Linked DNA regions of Macaca fascicularis. The protein of the gene in region 1 binds, or shares a complex with, the protein of each later gene. Links are inferred from orthologs where the notes say so. Each region holds a gene or a part of one and is shown in the gene's direction. Other genes may lie near its edges.

Region 1 (4,941 bases):
CACCCAGCCTTCCCAGATTTATCTTCCTGATGAGACAAATTCTCTTTGGAGCCCTGTGTGTCTTACTATGTGTTCGGTTGAGGGCCTGCCTCGCCCCAGCGCTGTGGGCTGCACGTGGCCTGCACGTGGCCTGGGTGCTCCTCTGCTATCCACAGCCGCAGGAGACGACGCTCAAATATTTGTGGAAGGAATCCGTGAACAGGCAGATGCACATGTAGCCACTTAGAACTTTCTGGCCGTGGCTTTCATCTGTTGACCACATATGGACATTGAAGATGTATCCTCTCCATCCTGTCTACAGCTGCCCCTGCGCCAGGCGAGTTGGCCGGCCGTTGACAGAGGTGGTGGGCGGGAGTGTTGGAGCAGGGCCGCGGCTCAGGCTCCGGGTGCCTCAGTGGCCTGGTCTGGAAGGTGACCATGCACCAAGAATCAAAGAAGATAAGCTCAAAATAGAGTCTCATGGAGTTTCCAGCCAGAATCTCCCCCACTGCCTGCCTTTCTCCAGATGGTGGAAGGCCCCAGGCCTCACAGCAGGACCCCACCACTGCGTTCCCCCAAAGACTCTGGCCACCTCCATCCCAGGCCTGCCAGTCTTGAGCCTCATGGAGTACGTGAGCTGGCCGGGTCATGCGCAGCCCCAGGACATCTATGGGTGGCACTAAGGGCTGAGTCAGCCACCCTTGTCTCCTCTGTGCCCAAGAGCCCGAGTATCAGGCTGGTCTGAGCCCCAAGGCCTAGGGGTGCAAGGACCAGGGGTTGGAGGCTGTGGAGTCCCAAGCCCCCACTGGACTCCCACCTCAGACACTGCTCCTGGTGTTCTCGCCCAGGCCTGAACCCATCCGCACACTTCGCAGTCCTGCTCCTACCCTGTGTCCCCTCTGCGAGCCCCCATGCTCCCCAAATTGGAAACTGGAGGAATTCTGTCTCCACACCCCAGCTAGTGCCATTCCCTGGTGGGTAGCTCATCACCTCTGGTCCCCTGCAGCCCTTGCCCCTTCACCATGGACGCTGGGAGGGCAGAGCCCGCTCCCCTGCTGAGCCCCACCCTGGAACTCCAAGCACCCTGGGTCCTTGCCTCTGCATCTCCCTCAGGGGCAAGGCTTGGGGCCCCTCCTGCCTCCTGACAGGGAGCCCCTTCAGTGCAGGGCCAGGGGGTGGTGGAGGCAAGGGTCCCCAGGGGACCAGATCTGACGTGCGGGGCCTCCACTGGGTCCCCGTTGGCTGTGCTGCTTAGTCCCCGCGCCCTCGCCTCGGCGCAGGCTCCCTCCTGCCACCAGGCATACGGCGAGGCCTGTGGCTCCCACCCCAAGGGTGCGCTCGGCTCTCACCTGAGGGCTCAGCCCAGGTGTCCGGCCCTGGCAGCTCGGCCCTGGGCGCCCTCCGCCGCCAGGCGCTGTCTCCTACTCCAGGCTGTTCTTCCGGCTGCGGGGTTGCGGCCTGGGTCCCATGGCAACGTGGGCGGGTCCTCATTTGAATACGCAAATATTTATAAGCCGCAGGAGGCTCGGGTTCTGAGGGGCTGAGCCACGCCCCTTAGCAACGGTCGCTAGGGCGGGGCCACGTGAGTTGGCACTTGGGTGGGCGATCCCGGGGGAGGTGACGCGCCACCAAGTCGGGTGGGCGCAGGCGCGTCAGGTGCCAGCTCCCTGCGGCTCCGTGCCCGGGCCGTCGCGGTGCACGTGTCGCGTTTCCTCGCGATCCCGGCGCTTCCCACGCGGGGCCGGCAAGGGCGGTCTCTGCTGGAGGCTCCCGCCCACCTTTCCCACGTGGAAGGGTCGCCCCTGGGGTCGAGGCCTGACGCCCTGACCTTCGATTGGAAGTGAGGCCGACAGCAAAAGGAAGCACCGGGGCAAGCGCCCCGGAGGACCAGGAAACACAGACCGGATGCCGAAGCGCGCCCGAGTGCCCGGCCCGTGGGACACGCCGCCGCCCGCCGTTCAGTCGCCGCCTCTCACCTGCGTTCATGCGCGTCCGCCCCGAGCCGGGCTCTGACTGCGACCGCGCGGTGGATGGACGGCAGGCGGGACCCCCGGGACCGCACGTGGGTGGAGCCCCGGGTCAGCGGCGACCGGCGCAGGAGGGCGTGGCGGCGGGGCGGGCACTGGGTTGGGCAGAGGCAGGGTTTGCCTGACCGTAAAACGCCTTTTTTTCTTTTAAACGCCTTTTTTTTGAGACGAAGTTGCGCTCTGTCACCCAGGCCGGAGTGCAGTGGCGCGATCTCGGCTCACCGCAACATTCGCCACCCGGGTTCCAGCGATTCTCCTGCCTCAGCCTCCTGAGTAGTTGGGCCTACAGGCTCGCGCCACTGCAGCCGACTAATTTTTTGCATTTTTAGTAGAGACGGGATTTCATCATGTTGGCCAGGCCGGTCTTGAACTCCTGACCTCAAGTAATCCACCGGCCTAGGCCTCCCAAAGTGCTGGGATTATAGGCGTGAGCCACCGCGGCCGGCCCCTTTTGCTTTTTTTTTTTTTTTTTTTTTTTTTTTTTTAGACGGAGTCTCGCTCTGCCACCCAGGCTGGAGTGCAGTGGCCGGATCTCAGCTCACTGCAAGCTCCGCCTCCCGGGTTCACGCCATTCTCCTGCCTCAGCCTCCCAAGTAGCTGGGACTACAGGCGCCCGCCACCTCGCCCGGCTAGTTTTTTGTATTTTTTAGTAGAGACGGGGTTTCACCGTGTCAGCCAGGATGGCCCTTTTGCTTTTTAATGAGAATGTATTTCTGATTCCTTTGCAATTTAAAAAAATGTTAAAAAAAAAAAAAAAAACACGTCTTTTGGGGTTTGAAAGAGCTAGGATGTGGTCTTTGTGCTTGGGGTGAGCCCTGGGCACTTCGCTCTCCTGTGGCAACCTGTAGGTACCGTTTAACTGCACCACGCTGAGCTTCTGCATGGTTGGAACCTCAAGTCTGGGGGGACTGAGCGGGCAGGGTCGCCTGCCACGCAGGCCCAAGTAAGAGAAGTGGTGGAGGGGGCGTTCTCACGCCTGGCCCCAGGGAGCACGGCTGCGCCCGCCGCTCGAAACCCCACCGGAGCTGCAAGGCGTCCTCGGGGTGGGCTGAGGTGGGAGTAGGGGAGCTGGGGTGCGTGTGGTAGGTGGGGTGCGCGGAGGAGGCGGGGTGCGCACCGTCCGGGTGCGGGGCCACTCCACCTGCGCGGAAGGGGAGCCGGGCAACCGGACCCCGCGGCCACCCGGGGGCCCCCAGCTCCGAGCGGCCCGCCTTGGTCCCGACGGATCCCAGCCTTTCCTCAGCCGGAGCCCCGGGACCTCCGCGGTGGGCGACGCCGCGCTGCGGACGCAGGGAGGGCCTCGAGTGCACGGGCGCCGCTGAGTCGGGTTCTCTCGCCGGCCTGTTCCCGGGAGAGTCCACGGCCCTGCTCGGATATGCCGCCGCAGGCCCCCAGACACCTGCTCCCTCGCCCTCCTTGAGCAACCCCGAGCTTGCCTCCGCTCGCCGGCCTAGCCCAACCCCCCGAGGCCGCGGCCCTTCTGGCTCCGCCTCCCGCGTTGCTCCCGGAAGCCCTGCCCGACCGCGGCTCCTGACAGACGGGCCGCTCAGCCAACCGGGGCGGGGCGGGGCCTGGTGTAGCGAGGCCAATGGTAGGTCGCGCAGGGCTGACGGACGGGCGCGGGGTGGGGCGTGCGCGAGCCCGGCCGAGTCTCCGCCGCCCGCTCCCTGCGCCTGCAGCCCCAGCCGCACCCGCCGCGGACGGAGCCCATGCGCGGGGAGAACCGCGCGCCCCCGCCCCCGCCCCCCCCTGGCCTCGGCCCCGGCCCCGGGGGCAGTCGCGCCACTGAGCGGTGAGTGCGGGCCGGGGTCGGCCGGGCCGCGCGCCCTCCCCGCCCCCAGGCGGCAGCCATACGCGCGGCGCGGGCCGGGGGCGCGGGACCGGCGGGCGTGAGCGGCTGCGGCGGCGGTAGTGGGTGGGTGGGGCCGGGCCGGGCCGGGCGGGGCCCCCAGGCACAGGTGAGCGGGCGTCGGGGGCTGCGGCTGGCGGGGGCGGGCTGAGGCCCCTTAGTCCCTGGGGCCTGCGGGAATCCGGGCCCCGCCCGTGGCCTCGCTCTGGGCACGGTCCTCACGCCGGCGTCCCCGGGAGCCTCGGGCCCGGCGCCCTCATAACCAGGCGCGTCTGGGCGGAGGCGGCCGCGGCCACGGCACGCCCGGGCACCCCCGATTCAGCATCACAGGTCGCGGACGAGGCCGGGGGCCTCAGCCCCAGGGCCCTTCCCCTCTCCGGGTCTCCCGCGCCGCCTCTCGGCCCCTTCCTGTGGCTCAGCCCCTGCTTCCCAGGAGCCCCTCTGTCTTTTCCAGCTTTCTGTGGCTGAAAGATGCCCCCGGTTCCCCGCCGGGGGCGCGGGGCGCTGCCCGGGTCTGCCCTCCCCTCAGCGGCGCCTAGCACGCAGTAGGCGCTCAGCAAATACTTGTCGGAGGCACCAGCGCCACGGGGCCTGCAGGCTGGCACTGGCCTGCCCGGGCACGCCGTGGCGCGCTCCGCCGTGGCCAGACCTGTTTAGGAGGACGGTAACCTCAGCCCTCGGGCGCCTCCCTTTAGTCTTTCTGCCGACCCAGCAGCTTCTAATTTGGTTGAGAGCGCTCAGCTGTCAGCCCTGCCTTTGGAGGCTGGCTCCCTTTTCCCCTCACTGGGTCCTTAACAGCAAGTGGGGGCGAGGCGACAGCCCTCCCCCGCGCTGGTTTGCAGCTGCACAGGTAGGCACGCTGCAGTCCTTGCTGCCTGGCGTTGGGACCCAGGGCCCGCTATGGGTTTGCTCTTCAGATGGCTCTGCCAGCAGCTGCCCTGTGGGGCCTGGGCCTGGCTGAGCAGGACCATCCTTGGCAGGTGGGGCAGGAGACCCTGTAGGACCCCGGGCCGCAGGCCCCTGAGGAGCAATGACGGAATATAAGCTCGTGGTGGTGGGCGCCGGCGGTGTGGGCAAGAGTGCGCT
Region 2 (4,195 bases), on another chromosome or scaffold:
GTGTGTATATATATATATATATATATTTTTTTTTTTTAATTGAGACGGAGTTTTGCTCTTGTCGCCCAGGCTGGAGTGCAGTGGCACGATCTCGGCTCACTGCAACCTCTGCCTCGCGGGTTCAAGCGATTCTCCTGCCTCAGCCTCCCGAGTAGCTGGGATTACAGGCACCCACCACCATGCCTTGCTAATTTTTGTATTTTTAGTAGAGACAGGTTTTCACAATGTTGGCCAGGCTGGTCTCGAACTCCTGACCTCAGGTGATCCACTTGCCTCAGCCTCCTAAAGTGCTACAGGCATGAGCCACCTCGCCTGGCCGGCCTGTATATTTTTAAAGGAAATAACCTAAGAGTTTTTTCCAGATTTTCAAAGAGGTCCTGTAAAGATTAAGAACCACTGAACCTTTCTCGTTTGCCTGATCTGGTTACTGTTCTCAGGAATAGGAGGACACAATGTCAGCTTTAACCCAGGCTAGTTCCTCTAAACTGCCTTATCGGTGAAATGAAAATAATAGGGTTGCTATGGGGATTAAATGAGATGATACTCAAAAAGTGATAATTAATGATAAATCATAAGGTGTCTGCCACAAAGTGCCCCTATTATAAACAAACAGTGGCCTGGAGGGACAGTTTATAAATACTGCTCCTTTAGCATTCCACTAATATTCACTGAGTGCCTGTTCTGTGTAGAGGCCCTGGTGAAAAAGATCGGCCTTCCAGTATATTATCTAGTCGAAAGAACCTCAAAAGATACAAAACACGATAGACTGAACGCCCTGAGAAGGGCGTAAGTGCAGTGCTCTAGGAGCTGTAGAAGAGGTCTCGATATCCACTGGAGGAAAGTGTTTATTGGAGTTCATATCTGGAGTGGGTTTAAAAGATGAACAGAGGGAATCTAAAACATACACACAAAATCAATACTACACGTACACATTTTATTCTTGGTTTTGTGGAAAGACCAGTTAGAAACACTGCAATCACTTCTACTACTCAGCAGATACTGAGCAGTAGGTTTCGTGACAGAGCACCTGTATCTTTTGTCCAGTCTGTTTACTATACATTGCGTGCTCTGGGCAGTCCTTATCTTCGTGTTCAGGAACAAAGTACACACACCCCTTTCCGAAACGAAGGGCCCAGGGATTCCGAGAGGGGTGGGAGCCCTCACGGCCAGACCACACAATGGGGAGCCTCTTTACCCTAGTTATCACCCACCCCTGCAGGCTCCACTTTGCCAGGGTTCGACTTCTCGGGTCCTTTCGCCCCTCCCCTGCAGCCCCCAGGAGCGCAGCAACAGCCTGGCCAGGCGCCCTCCCTCTCTCTCTCTCGAGCTTCCCTCCTCCTTCACCGGGAGCCGGAAAACCCGGAGCGAACCAGCCCAGCCCGGCGGCGCATGCTCAGTAGCGAGCAGGTTCAGTTCGCTAGTAGGAAGCTCTAGCGCTACACCGGCGGCGGCGGCGGCGGCTGCGGCGGCACCTCAGGGCAGCCAGATTCCCCAACAACGACCTCGGGTCCTTCCCCTTCCCCGTGAGACCCCCGCCCCAGCTCAGCCCCGCCCGGGGCTCCTGCGTTTCGGGGTACCAACTGAGCAGAGCGGGCGCCGCGGCCGGAGCGTACCTCCACACGTCCTCCCCCAGCCGCCAGCTCCGCCGCGGGGCCAGGCCGGGCCCGAGAGTGCAGCCCCGGCGGGCGGGCGGGCGGCGGCCGCGGCAGAGGGCAGCCCCGGGCGGCGCCGGCGGGCCGGGGAGGAGGCGCGGGGGGCCTGGCCCCGGGGCGGTGGTGCGGGATGCCGCCGCCTCCGGGCCGCGTTCGTTCTCCACAGTTGGTACCCGTGTCGGGTGTGTGGCCGGGCGCGGGCCTCGCCCCCCAGCCCCCTCACCAGGGCTAGCCCGGCTGCGCGGCGCCCGGAGGGGGCCGGGCCGTCCGGTGGGGCCGCGGCCCTGTTCCGTGCTGCGATCTCGCCCTCTCGCAGCTCCCCGGCCCGGCCGCCGCCGCCCCTCTCCCCGCCCAGAGGCGCCCCGGGGGCACCATGCAGGCGCAGCAGCTGCCATACGAGTTTTTCAGCGAAGAGAACGCGCCCAAGTGGCGGGGACTGCTGGTGCCTGCGCTGAAAAAGGTGAGGAGCACGCGGGACCCCGCTTCCCGGCCGCAGCACCCCAGCGCGGGCGCCGGGCTGGCGCTGGGGAAGGGCTGGGGAGGCGGGGCGCGCGCAGGGCTGTCTTTCTTCCCGGTCTCGCCGCGTCTCCAGAAGGACGGCGCACACTGAGAGGCTCGCCATACGGCTGGCTCTCAGTGTTGACATCCACCGGGTGTGTGGGAAGGCCGCAGGGAGCTGGCGGGAGTTTATCCGAATAATCCAACCCCTGAGAGGTGAATGCTTTGCCCTTTGATTCCAAGACAACAGTTGCAGGAGCCTCAGTTTTCTGCGGAGGTCAAAGCAGGCCACCTTTCCGCCTTCTCGGTCTTAGCGCGGAGCTGCTGTCAGCCTGCCGTTTTAGGTGTCCAGTACGCTCGTTTTAGTGGCTTTTCGAGAATGCCCTGGCCGTAGTGCTTGCTCAAAGGAATTGCGAGCTCGCCTGCCAGCAGTAACGTGGCCTGCTCTGTTCGCCATCAGCAATCACTCCTCATTCTCCTGGTTTCCCCCGCTCCTCCGATTAACAGGGGCCGGTGCACATGCTACCAATTTCGGGGTTTTTTTGTTTTGTTTTTGCAGCGTTAGAAACTTGGTGCTGTCATTTGGTTAAGAATTTTTAGCCTTTGTATGTTTAAGTTTGCTACATTGTTACATACCCCCGATCTGTGCTTTTAAATGTTTTAGTATAATTAGGAAGTGTTGTTACATTTTTAAAGCTTCTAAAGCAGCAGTGTGACTACCAGACTATTTTTGTTTCCTTTTCTTCATTTACCTTTTCTGTAAAGATTGCTTTACTCTTCTAATAGTGTTTCTAAATTCCAGTTTCTTGCTGCTTAAAGAATGTTTCATGCTAACTGCTTCTACTAAGAATGGAGATTAATGTTGTACCTTTTATGCTAAACATTAAAAGCTGTCTGATATTTCTCAAAGGCCAGTAACTTTTACTTTCCCTTTTGCCCTGTTCTCCTCCTGTCCCTCTTGCTGTCTTACAGTGGAAACTATTTGGTTTGTCAGGAGTATTTGCTCATATATTTCTGACTTAAGTTACGGACATTTTCCCCTTCAAGTGTCTGACTAGTCACAAACATCTATGTGTTTTTTTTTTTTTTTTTAAAGAAAACCAAAAAGATGCCATGTATCTTACATACTTTACTCCTTAGAAATCCCATCAGGCTCTCACTCCTTACTTTTGCTTTACTTGCAAGTTTGGCTTCTCAGCTTGCAATGGAATGGGTGTAGGACGTCTCTGTGATGCTAGAAGCTGGTGTCCGGATAGGGTAAGAGAAGACAGGGAAATTGTTTAAAAATCTGTAAAGGAACTCATAAAGTATTGCCAAATAGGGGCCATTTTGCTTAGAGGCAAAAACAGCTGCTTTCTTAGGGAATCACCAAGCTATCAGCTGAGAATTCTTTGAAGTAGTGGAAAGAATATTGTAGGAGTTGACAGACCTTGTTTTAATTCTGCCACACTGGTGGCCCTTGCTGGAATCTGTCCACAGAAGCATTTTGTTTGGCTGGCACAGTGTGGTTTTATTTTCAAATGTAATTAGTTGCTAATATTTGAAAATGGGAGATATTACATAAAATCTGAATTTTCTGCTTTTCTTGACGAATAGGAAGGTCTTGTCATTTAGGGTCTGTATTCAAGCGAGGCACTAAACTGCTGGAGGTGAGTAAATGGCTGCCTTCTTTAGACAGGTCGTGTATCTCCACCTTACCACAGCCCCCACTTGTCCTTTTTGCATATTTACATAAACCAGCTTTTGACTTTAAGCTAGAAATATTTTTGCAGTAGAAGTGATAAGAGGAGGTGGAAGTGTACATAATCTAGCTGATATGTAAGGTTCTTCCAATTCTTATTTAAATATCCACTAACAATGATTCTAAACAAGGTTGAAAATACAGTATATTTCATATCTGGATATGTTGTTGGTAGCTCAAAACCTACGTTTTTACCTGCCTGCTGGACATTTCATGTGGATATCTCCATATCTTGATTTCTTCCTTTGATTTATTATTGAATTATTTGTAGATGCATCCAACTTGTGTTCTCTTACTCTTACCT
Region 3 (4,272 bases), on another chromosome or scaffold:
CAGGTTTGCTCAGTTGGTGACATTTCATCAACCTAAATACTTAATGATTGGTGATCTTTTTGTACTTCGATTTAAAAAAAAAAAAAGGTCGAGCATGACACATTTAGGTAAAAAGAAAAAAATGCACACTCAAAAGAAAAGTCTGTTTCTAGGAGCACATGTTTATACAATGTGCTTAAACGCACAGACAGCAGTTTGGACGAAACTCGACAACATGTCATATTGGTCACACCCTGCTTAAGAAAGACAGGGGATGGGGAGGGGCTTCCCAAAGGCTTTACCTCCATCTTTGATGGTTTTTGATGTGTGTGTGGGTTTTTTTTGTTTTGTTCTGTTTTTTGTTTTTTGAGATAGGACTGACGTGCAGTGGCACCATCAGGGCTCACTGCAGCCTCCACCTCCTTGGGCTCAAGCAATCCTCTTGCCTCAGCCTCCTGAGTACCTGGGACTACAGGTATGCACCACTATGCTCAGCTAGCTTTTTTTTTTCTTTTTTGTTTGAGACAGAGTTTTGCTCCCGTTGCCCAGGCTGGAGTGTAATGGTGCGATCTCGACTCACCTCAACCTCCGCCTCCTGGGTTCAAGCAATTCTCCTGCCTCAGCCTCCCAAGTAGCTGGGATTACAGGCATGTGCCACCACGCTGGGCTAATTTTGTATTTTTAGTAGAGACGGGGTTTCTCTATGTTGGTCTCAAACTCCCGACCTCAGGTGATCCGCCACCTCAGCCTTCTAAAGTGCTGGGATTACAGGAGTGAGCCACCACGCCAGCCTAACTTTTTACATTTTTTTAGAGACGGGGTTTTGTCGTGTTGTTCAGGCTGGTCTCAAACTCCTGGACTCAAGCGATCCGCCTGCCTTGGCCTCCCAAAGTGCTGGATGACAGGCGTGAGCCCCCGTGCCTGGCCCAGTATGTAATGTTCTTTTAAGGTAACAGTGGATTGTGTGAGGATTAAATGAGTTAGTATTTTTAAAGTCCTTAGAGCAGTGTGTGGTACACAGTAGGTGCTATGTGGAGGTTTGTTACAATAAAGTCAGAAAGTGAAAATGTTTTCCAGGGTACAAATGGTATCACTTAAACTAGGAATAAGAGAAGCCTATGAAGAAATATATAAAATACTATGTCTTGTGAGTTTCCATTCAAACCTTCGTGAATTATATATATCAGTATGTCCTTCTAGAAAGACAGACTTATCTTTTTGAGTGTGTGTGTGTTTTTACATAAATATCAGTCATGCTTTGAAAAGAAAAACCCCTGCTTTTATTGAAGTATGACAGTGACGGGTCTTGAGACCGAAAGATGAGGGAGATAGAGAGCCCGCCGGGGCTCTTGAGGGTGGGAGAGCCAGCAGTGCCGGAAACCTCAGCAGAAGGGATCCCCGTGTGGGGGAGGGGGGCCTTTGGTCTCTCCCCAGCCTCTTCCTTCCCCCTGGCCTGAGGGTGGGTGGGGAGGGGCAGTTCCTCTTTCCTTCCCAAGCACCGAGGAGGCCCCAGCTCCCTAGGGGCTGAGAAGCTGGAGTCCTGGGGAAGGGGAGGAGCCGAGCCATACTCTTGCAAGACCCCCGCCCTCCTCCCCCCCCCACCGGAAACATGAACAGAAAAGACAGCAAGAGGTGAGAGGACCCTCCCCAGGGAGCCCGGCAGCACCCTGAGGCCTCCCTCTGCATGGGAGGGCTGGGGAGATCACTCGCCAGGGTGGCAGGATGCCTGGCTTCTTCGGGACCGGGTGCAGGGGGGCCAGGTGGATGCTTCAGGGTTCAGGGAGTCTGGAGCCAGCTAGGGCGGCAGTGGCTTGGATGTGGCATCTGTACCATGTTGTCCCTGGAGTTTGAGCTGCTCTTTGCCCCTTTCCCACTTCTTGTCACCACACCTCCATCCCTGGCCTGGGCTGAGTGTCTCTGCCCTCCCTGGGGGCTTCCTGGTTCCCCATCCCCTTGGACTGGAAACTCCAAGCTCCTGCAGGGCCCTGGCCCAGGAGAGGCCTGGGAGTGTGACACAGGGCAAAGTGGCTCCCCTGCCTCTTAAACCACTTCTGGCTGTTCCAGAGCCCTACAGGGGGCTGCAGGACAGGGCCTAGTGGCTGGCTGTGTGGCTGGTTCTAGAATGGGCTTCTATCTCCTGGGCAAGCTGGCCCTTCTGTCCCCACAGAGGCAGATAGGGTGGGTGTCTCCCTAGCCTGGGTAGCTCCTCCTGCCATCCCCAGAATCACTCTGATGGGCAAAGGGCTTTCCTCCCCACCCAGCAATTTAGTGGTAGACTCCTGGCTGACCTTAGGTAAGTCACTTAACTGCTCTGTGTCTTGGGTTTTTCTTCTGTCAATAGAATAATCATAGCCTCCACCTCGGAGAGGCCTGTAAGTACTCAATGAGACACTCTAGACCAGTGGTTCTCAAACTGGAGCGTGCCTCAGAACTGTCTGGAGGGCTTTTAAAATACAGGTTGCTGGGCTTACCCTTATTATTTTTTTCTTTCTTTTTTTTTTTTTGAGACGGAGTCTCGCTCTGTCTCCAGGCTGGAGTGCGGTGGCACAATCTCGGCTCACTGCAACCTCTGCCTCCTGGGTTCAAGCGATCCTCCTGCCTCAGCCTCCCAAATAGCTGGGATTACCGGTGCATGCCACCACACCCGGCTACTTTTTTGTATTTTTAGTAGAGATGGGGTTTCACCATGCTGGGCAAGATGGTCTCGATCTCTTGACCTCGTGATCCGCCCACCTCGGCCTCCCAAAGTGCTGGGATTAGAGAGGCATGAGCCACTGCCCCCAGCCTTAAAATGTTTGATTTTGTAGGTGTCGGTTGGGACCTGAGAATCTGTATTTATATCCAGTTCCCAGGTGATGCTTTTGTACTAGCTGGGTGCCCACACTTAGGGAAACGCTGATTTAGTTACAATGCTCCCTCCTCGGCCTAGGACATATTTAATACTTTAAAATGTCCCTTCTAGTAACAGTGGCTCATGCCTCTAATCCCAGAACTTTGGGAGGATAAGGCAAGGAGAACTTGAGGCCAGAAGTTCTAGACCAGCCTGGGCAATATAGTGAGACCCCCATCGACACACACACACACACACAAAATTAGCTGGGTACGGTTGTGCACACCTGTAGTCCCAGCTAGCTGGGAGACTAAGGCAGGAGGATCACTCGAGTCCAGGAGTTCAAGGTTACAGTGAGCTTTGATTGCACCATTGCACTCCAGCCTGAGAGACAGAGCAAGATCCTGTCTAAAAAAGGGTAGAGGTAGGGGCCTGGCGTGATGGCTCACACCTATAATCCCAGCACTTTAGGAGGCAAAGGTGGGAGGATCAGTTGGGCCCAGGAGTTCGAAACCAGCCTGGCCAACACGGTGAAACTCCATTTCTACTAAAAATACAAAAATTAGCTGGGCTTGGTGGCAGGTGCCTGTAGCCCAACTAATTGGGAGGCTGAGGCAGGAGAATTGCTTGAACTCGGAAGGTGGAGGTTGCAGTGAGCTGAGATTGCACCACTGCACTCCAGCCTGGGTGACAGAGTGAGACCCTGTCTCCAAAAAAAGAAAAAAAAAAAAATCCTTGGGGAAGGTCCAAGGACTATCTTCATTTTTCCTTTGAGGAAACAGCCCCAGAGAAATTAAGTAACTAACACGAAGTCACAACAGCTGGCAGAAATTTCTGGATTCTACTTTCGTTTGAAACATGGATTCAGCTCCCTCCCTCCTCCCACCATCCCTGTCTCTCCATTACCCTCTTTCCCCATCAGGAACAGCAGCCTCTGGGAGGCACCAGGCAGAGGAAGAATTATTATTACTATTATTGTTATTATTATTATTATTATTTTGGAGACGAAGACTTGCTCTGTTGCCCAGGCTGGAGTGCAGTGGCGCAATCTCGGCTCACTGCAACCTCTGCCTCCTGGGTTCAAGCGATTCTTCTGCCTCAGCCTCCTGAGTAGCTGGGATTACAGGTGTGCACCACCATGCCCAGCTAATTTTTGTATTTTTAGTAGAGACGGGGTTTCACCATGTTGGTCAAGCTGGTCTCGAACTCATGACGTTGTGATGAGAGGATTATTTTCCCACCTTCCTTGAAGCTGCCTCAGCCCCAGGAACCTCTCACCTAACTCTGAGGAGCCCCAGAGAAGACCATTTAGCACTGGTATTTCCTCTCCAGTCCCAAATCTAAGGACCCAGACTGAAGGCTAAACTGTAGGTCCTGCCGGAAGGCTAACTTCAGAGAGGGGTCTGTTACCTTAGTGGGGTGAAGGGGTGGGAGAAGGGCAGAGATGAAATCCTGGGGTTTCC
Region 4 (4,238 bases), on another chromosome or scaffold:
CATTACTGAATTCCTAGGATATTGCTGGCCTTAATTCACTCGAGAACTCTAGCTCCTGTGACTGGTTCATCTTCCTTCTCCCAAGTAGCACATTGCCTAAGACATAAGCATAATGGAGGTCCCAGGACTACTCCTAATCAAGTTGGATCGTTGTCATCGACTAGGTAAATAGGCCTACGCAAATTTACAAAGAAAATGCATTGCCTGTATCTTGCCACCTCTTTTAGTGGTCTTTTCTCTTGTTCCTTTGTTTCTATCACAACCACTTGCCATCCGGAGTGTTGGCTTGATCATCCTTAGCAGAGAAAATACTGATCTCAAAGATCAATATCCAATGGTATTCAACGTGGGATTACTACTGGGAGAATTTAAAATAACAATACCGTTAATTTCAAACCATGAGAAGCTCCCTGTACATGAATGCATGTAATAGTTTGTATACATTTTAGTGTAGAAGACAAAATAACACTCTTCTCCTTAATTGTATTAAAAATGAGTTTTCAGTTTATTGCTACTTTAGAAACGATATATAATTGTAACTGGCATTCTGGGACATTCTTGACATTTGACTTGTTGAAGGTGCTTGCATTGCGGATCACACCCTGCAGTCTTTTGCACACAGAGGACAAAAGTGCATTGATTAGTGTTTTCTGTGGCACCCCCTCCTCTTCATCAGTATCCAACAGACTTATAATAGCATAGGTAAGTATATGAGACAGTTGATAAAGAAAAACCTATGCAAATACTAGTAGAAATCTTACTTCATAACCACTATTTCTACCAAAATTCCCCACCCTTCTCATATGGTGCCCTTTATTTCGTTTCGGAGTTTCAGAATCTATTTTATCTGTGTGTGTGTGAGATAGTCATGGTGATTTATAGCATGCAACGAAAAAGACAACATTTAGTACTGCCCCGATCTTCAAAGCTACCTGACTCCTGCATGGTCTCTGCGCTGCTGGCTAAGGCTGTTTCTTCCACCGGTCAGGAAGTACGGAACTAGTTTCTAGGCATTTTCCTTTCCCTTTCCCCCTTCTTCCTCTCCGCCGCCTCCCGGTCCCCCTCTCGTCTCTCCGGCTTTCACAGCGCCGAGCACCCGCGTGCTCAGGTACCCTTCCCTCTTCTCCCGCCCATCAAACAAAGCCCCGGGAGACAGGCGCGCGCCGCCGGCCACGCCAACAGGAGATGCGGCCGCGCCGCCGCACGCTAGGAACCGGAGTAGGACAGCAAGCGCGACCACGCACCGCGCGTCCCCGCCGCTTCCTTCCCTCTGGACTCTTCCTTTTCCTCCAGGCCCGGCCCCCCGCCCCCCGCCCCCCGCCCCCCGCTCCCCGCTCCGGGAACGCGCCTGCGCACAAGCTGCCCTCTCCCTCCTCCGCCCTTCCTTCCCTCCGTCCCTCCTCCCCTGCCCCGCCTTCCTTTCTCTCTCTACGGTTTCAGTCACTGAGAGCTCCAGGTAGTGAGCAGTTCAGTCGATTTCCTTGTTACCCCGCCCCCCTTTCTCTTGTCCCCACCCCTCTCATCTGCCTGGTGGAGGATGAAGCGGCTGCAGTGGCCCCAGCCTCAGCAGCGGCACCGGCGGTGGCTGCGGTGTGGGTGGCCGGAACTGGGGTGGTGAAGAAGCGGTGGTGGCTGCTGAAGGAGCGATAGCCACCTAAGCCTCTTTCCCTGTGCTTCCTTTCCTCTTTAGTGCAGCCAGGAAGTTTTCGCTTCTGTACATGTGTTTGTGTGCGTGAGTGTGGGTGTGTGCCGTGAGGTTTGGGTGGCGTTTGTGCAGGCGTTGGGTTTTTTGCCCACTTCGCTTCCCGTAACCCAAGCAGCTCCGGAGCCTGGGCTGTGGCCCTAGGAGGGGGCGCGGCGGCGGGCTCTCTCCTTTTGTTGTTGTTTCCTCCGCCTGGGGAGCTGAAGGGGAGACGCGTCTGGGTGGGGCGGCTCGGAGCCCGGGCCTGGTGGCCCCCGGGGCTCCCGGGCGGGCAGGGTAGGGCAGAGTAGAGCGGGCTTCAACATGATGGCGGCCGAGGCCGGCAGTGAGGAGGGCGGCCCGGTAACAGCCGGAGCTGGAGGAGGCGGCGCGGCAGCGGGCTCCAGTGCCTATCCCGCAGTGTGTCGGGTGAAGATACCCGCGGCCCTGCCTGTGGCAGCCGCCCCCTATCCTGGGCTGGTGGAGACTGGAGTGGCTGGAACTCTGGGTGGCGGAGCCGCTTTGGGGTCAGGGTTCCTAGGAGCCGGGTCTATGACAGGGGCATTGGGGGGAGCCGGACTGACAGGGGGAGGTACTGCTGCTGGCGTGGCCGGTGCTGCTGTCGCTGGACCTAGTGGAGACATGGCTCTCACCAAGCTGCCCACTTCGTTGCCTGCTGAGACTCTCGGGCCAGGCGGCGGTTTTCCCCCTCTGCCCCCTCCCCCTTACCTGCCCCCTTTGGGGGCGGGCCTGGGGACAGTGGACGAAGGTGACTCTCTGGATGGACCAGAATACGAGGAGGAAGAGGTGGCCATACCATTGACCGCTCCTCCAACTAACCAGTAAGTTAAGACTGCTGTTCAGGAATTTGGGCAGCTGGCTCCAGAAAAGAAGTGGAAATGGGGTAAACCATACTTTGTCTTTTTCATCTGTGATTTGTTTAGGAAAAGTTTTTGAAGTTTCAGGTTTCTTGCGTAGGAATTTAATTTGATCACTTATCTTCCTTACAGGCATACTACCTGGCGTCTTCCTACATTTATTGCTCTTCTGGGAAGGTGTAAAGTTTTTAAGATGGAAAGTATGAGAAAATGTGTATCTGATGAGAACCGGATATGGTTCTGTCCCTTCCAAGTTGAAGTGGTGTCCCAGGATTTAGTCAAACTGCGGCTACCAAGGCAGTCATAGTGTATATTAACCTGTTTGTGTTACTTGATAAAGCTAGATGATTAGTGAGAAATTTTGAATACAAATATTTAAACGAGTATTGTATTAGTAATTTGAAAAATGTATTGGTTAGAATGTATTTATTTCAGTGCACATCCCAGCTTCTGATTAGAGAAAGCATAGTGATGTTTAGAAGAGTCTGTGGGTCACTTAATGAGAACTTGGGTCAGAGAGAAAGGAAAGGAATACTGTGAATTATAGGTGTGATTAAGCGCCTTTGTTTCAACAATGTATCTTCTTCCCTAGGCTTCCCACTTAGCTTTTATAGTCGAGACATTGGAAGTACAACAGTGAGACAAAACAAAATTAACAGAGCTTCCCTTAAACATTTTTTGTTGGTGGCCAGTATAGTATTCTATTTGAAAATTAAGTAGAATATACAGGACAATGACTTTTTTTTTAATGTAAGTTAATACCTCCTCACTTGTCTTAATTGAACTTAGGTGTTTATTCATAAAGGTGGACCTTGATGAAAATGTTGCGATGGGAAGTGGTATTAGGCAAAACTTGTTATAGGTTTCTCGTATAACTCTTAATTGACCCTTAGAATTTTAACAACCTTGGTGAATATCAGGAAAGAAAGATTTGGTTCATATGTTGACAGTCATTCTGGACAATTCAGAGGTTTTTTTTTTTTTCCTCTCTCCATTGCCCCCAAGAGATGGAGTCTAGCTCTGTTGCCCAGGCTGCAGTGTAGTGGCATGGTCTTGGCTCACTGCAACCTCTGCCTCCCGGGTTCAAGAGATTCTCCTGCCTCAGCCTCGCTAGTAGCTGGGATTACAGGTGCATGCCACCATGCCTGGCTAATTTTTGTATTTTTCATAGAGACGAAGTTTCGCCATATGGCCAAACTGGTATCTTAACTCCTGACCTCAGGTGGTCGGCTTGGCCTCAGCCTCCCGAACTGCCGGGATTACAGGTGTGAGCCACTGTGCCCGGCCTTTTTTTTTTTGGATAAGCTTCTTTGGAGCATTTAGAAAGGACTGAAACTAGGAAAAGATTCTGTTACCCTCATCTATTTTTGACTTAAGGCTACATCTTTTGATACTTAAAGTGGAAAAGTAAAGTTAGTCATATTTATGCCAGCCATGTTATAGGGATGTAGTGTTCCACCTTTTATATTCCTCAATAAAGGGTTCAAGTCTTGCGTCAGAGTTTTGTTCAAATTTTACACGACAATTTATTTCATGTCATTGTAATGCAGAGTCCCTGGGAGTGTTCAGGGAGTGTTAAAAATTCCAATTTTGCCGGTCGCGGTGGCTCACGCCTGTAATCCCAGCACTTCGGGAGGCCTAGGCAGGTGGATCACCCGAAGTCGGGAGTTTGAGACCAG

The links. Proteins that work in one complex are often made in the same cells at the same time.
Region 2: the proteins of HRAS (region 1) and SOS1 are in contact, whole or in part, in a crystal structure (PDB 4NYM), measured with the Homo sapiens proteins. The link is inferred for Macaca fascicularis from reciprocal best matches to the Homo sapiens genes HRAS and SOS1. Residues at the interface, in NP_001123914.1 of Homo sapiens: Gly13, Gly15, Ser17, Ala18, Thr20, Ile21, Gln25, Asp30, Glu31, Tyr32, Asp33, Pro34, Thr35, Glu37, Tyr40, Arg41, Asp54, Ile55, Leu56, Asp57, Thr58, Ala59, Gly60, Gln61, Glu63, Tyr64, Ser65, Ala66, Met67, Arg68; in NP_005624.2 of Homo sapiens: Glu589, Lys602, Trp809, Thr810, Lys814, Leu822, Met824, Ile825, Arg826, Thr828, Thr829, Thr832, Glu836, Asn869, Leu872, Val875, Ser876, Asn879, Ser880, Ser881, Tyr884, Ser908, Asp910, His911, Tyr912, Lys913, Leu916, Phe929, Phe930, Gly931.
Region 3: the proteins of HRAS (region 1) and RASGRP4 are in contact, whole or in part, in a crystal structure (PDB 6AXG), measured with the Homo sapiens proteins. The link is inferred for Macaca fascicularis from reciprocal best matches to the Homo sapiens genes HRAS and RASGRP4. Residues at the interface, in NP_001123914.1 of Homo sapiens: Glu3, Gly12, Gly13, Gly15, Ser17, Ala18, Ile21, Asp33, Pro34, Thr35, Ile36, Glu37, Tyr40, Arg41, Asp54, Leu56, Asp57, Ala59, Gly60, Gln61, Glu63, Tyr64, Ser65, Ala66, Met67, Arg68, Asp69, Gln70, Arg73, Thr74; in NP_733749.1 of Homo sapiens: Tyr228, Gly232, Val234, Val244, Asn248, Ser251, Asn288, Met291, Ala292, Gly295, Gly296, Cys298, His299, Ser300, Leu327, Ala328, Ser329, His330, Asn331, Asn332, Tyr333, Ala334, Arg337, Leu351, Gly352, Val353, Leu355, Lys356, Val359, Ser360.
Region 4: the proteins of HRAS (region 1) and RASA1 are in contact, whole or in part, in a crystal structure (PDB 8BOS), measured with the Homo sapiens proteins. The link is inferred for Macaca fascicularis from reciprocal best matches to the Homo sapiens genes HRAS and RASA1. Residues at the interface, in NP_001123914.1 of Homo sapiens: Gly12, Gly13, Ser17, Ile21, Gln25, Asp30, Glu31, Tyr32, Asp33, Pro34, Thr35, Ile36, Glu37, Asp38, Ser39, Tyr40, Arg41, Gln61, Glu62, Glu63, Tyr64, Ala66, Met67, Lys88, Lys117; in NP_002881.1 of Homo sapiens: Gly746, Arg749, Glu783, Thr785, Thr786, Arg789, Ala790, Thr791, Glu799, Lys803, Ser833, Arg894, Gly898, Phe901, Leu902, Arg903, Cys906, Pro907, Leu910, Asn911, Met914, Arg928, Ile931, Ala934, Lys935, Gln938, Asn939, Asn942, Val944, Ala948.

What each region holds. Positions count from the first base shown.
Region 1 is NC_088388.1:432,983-437,923, reverse strand, and holds the start of HRAS (GTPase HRas), read left to right. Parts: upstream 1-1,624; 5' UTR 1,625-2,041; exon of another isoform or gene 2,042-2,057; intron 2,058-3,653; exon of another isoform or gene 3,654-3,798; intron 3,799-4,835; 5' UTR 4,836-4,885; coding exon 4,886-4,941. UniProt on the Homo sapiens protein: Involved in the activation of Ras protein signal transduction. Ras proteins bind GDP/GTP and possess intrinsic GTPase activity.
Region 2 is NC_088387.1:83,039,040-83,043,234, forward strand, and holds the start of SOS1 (son of sevenless homolog 1), read left to right. Parts: upstream 1-1,395; 5' UTR 1,396-2,025; coding exon 2,026-2,112; intron 2,113-2,242; exon of another isoform or gene 2,243-2,366; intron 2,367-4,195.
Region 3 is NC_088393.1:45,488,212-45,492,483, reverse strand, and holds the start of RASGRP4 (RAS guanyl-releasing protein 4), read left to right. Parts: upstream 1-1,472; 5' UTR 1,473-1,588; coding exon 1,589-1,611; intron 1,612-4,272.
Region 4 is NC_088380.1:91,254,705-91,258,942, forward strand, and holds the start of RASA1 (ras GTPase-activating protein 1), read left to right. Parts: upstream 1-1,438; 5' UTR 1,439-2,005; coding exon 2,006-2,523; intron 2,524-4,238. UniProt on the Homo sapiens protein: Inhibitory regulator of the Ras-cyclic AMP pathway. Stimulates the GTPase of normal but not oncogenic Ras p21; this stimulation may be further increased in the presence of NCK1.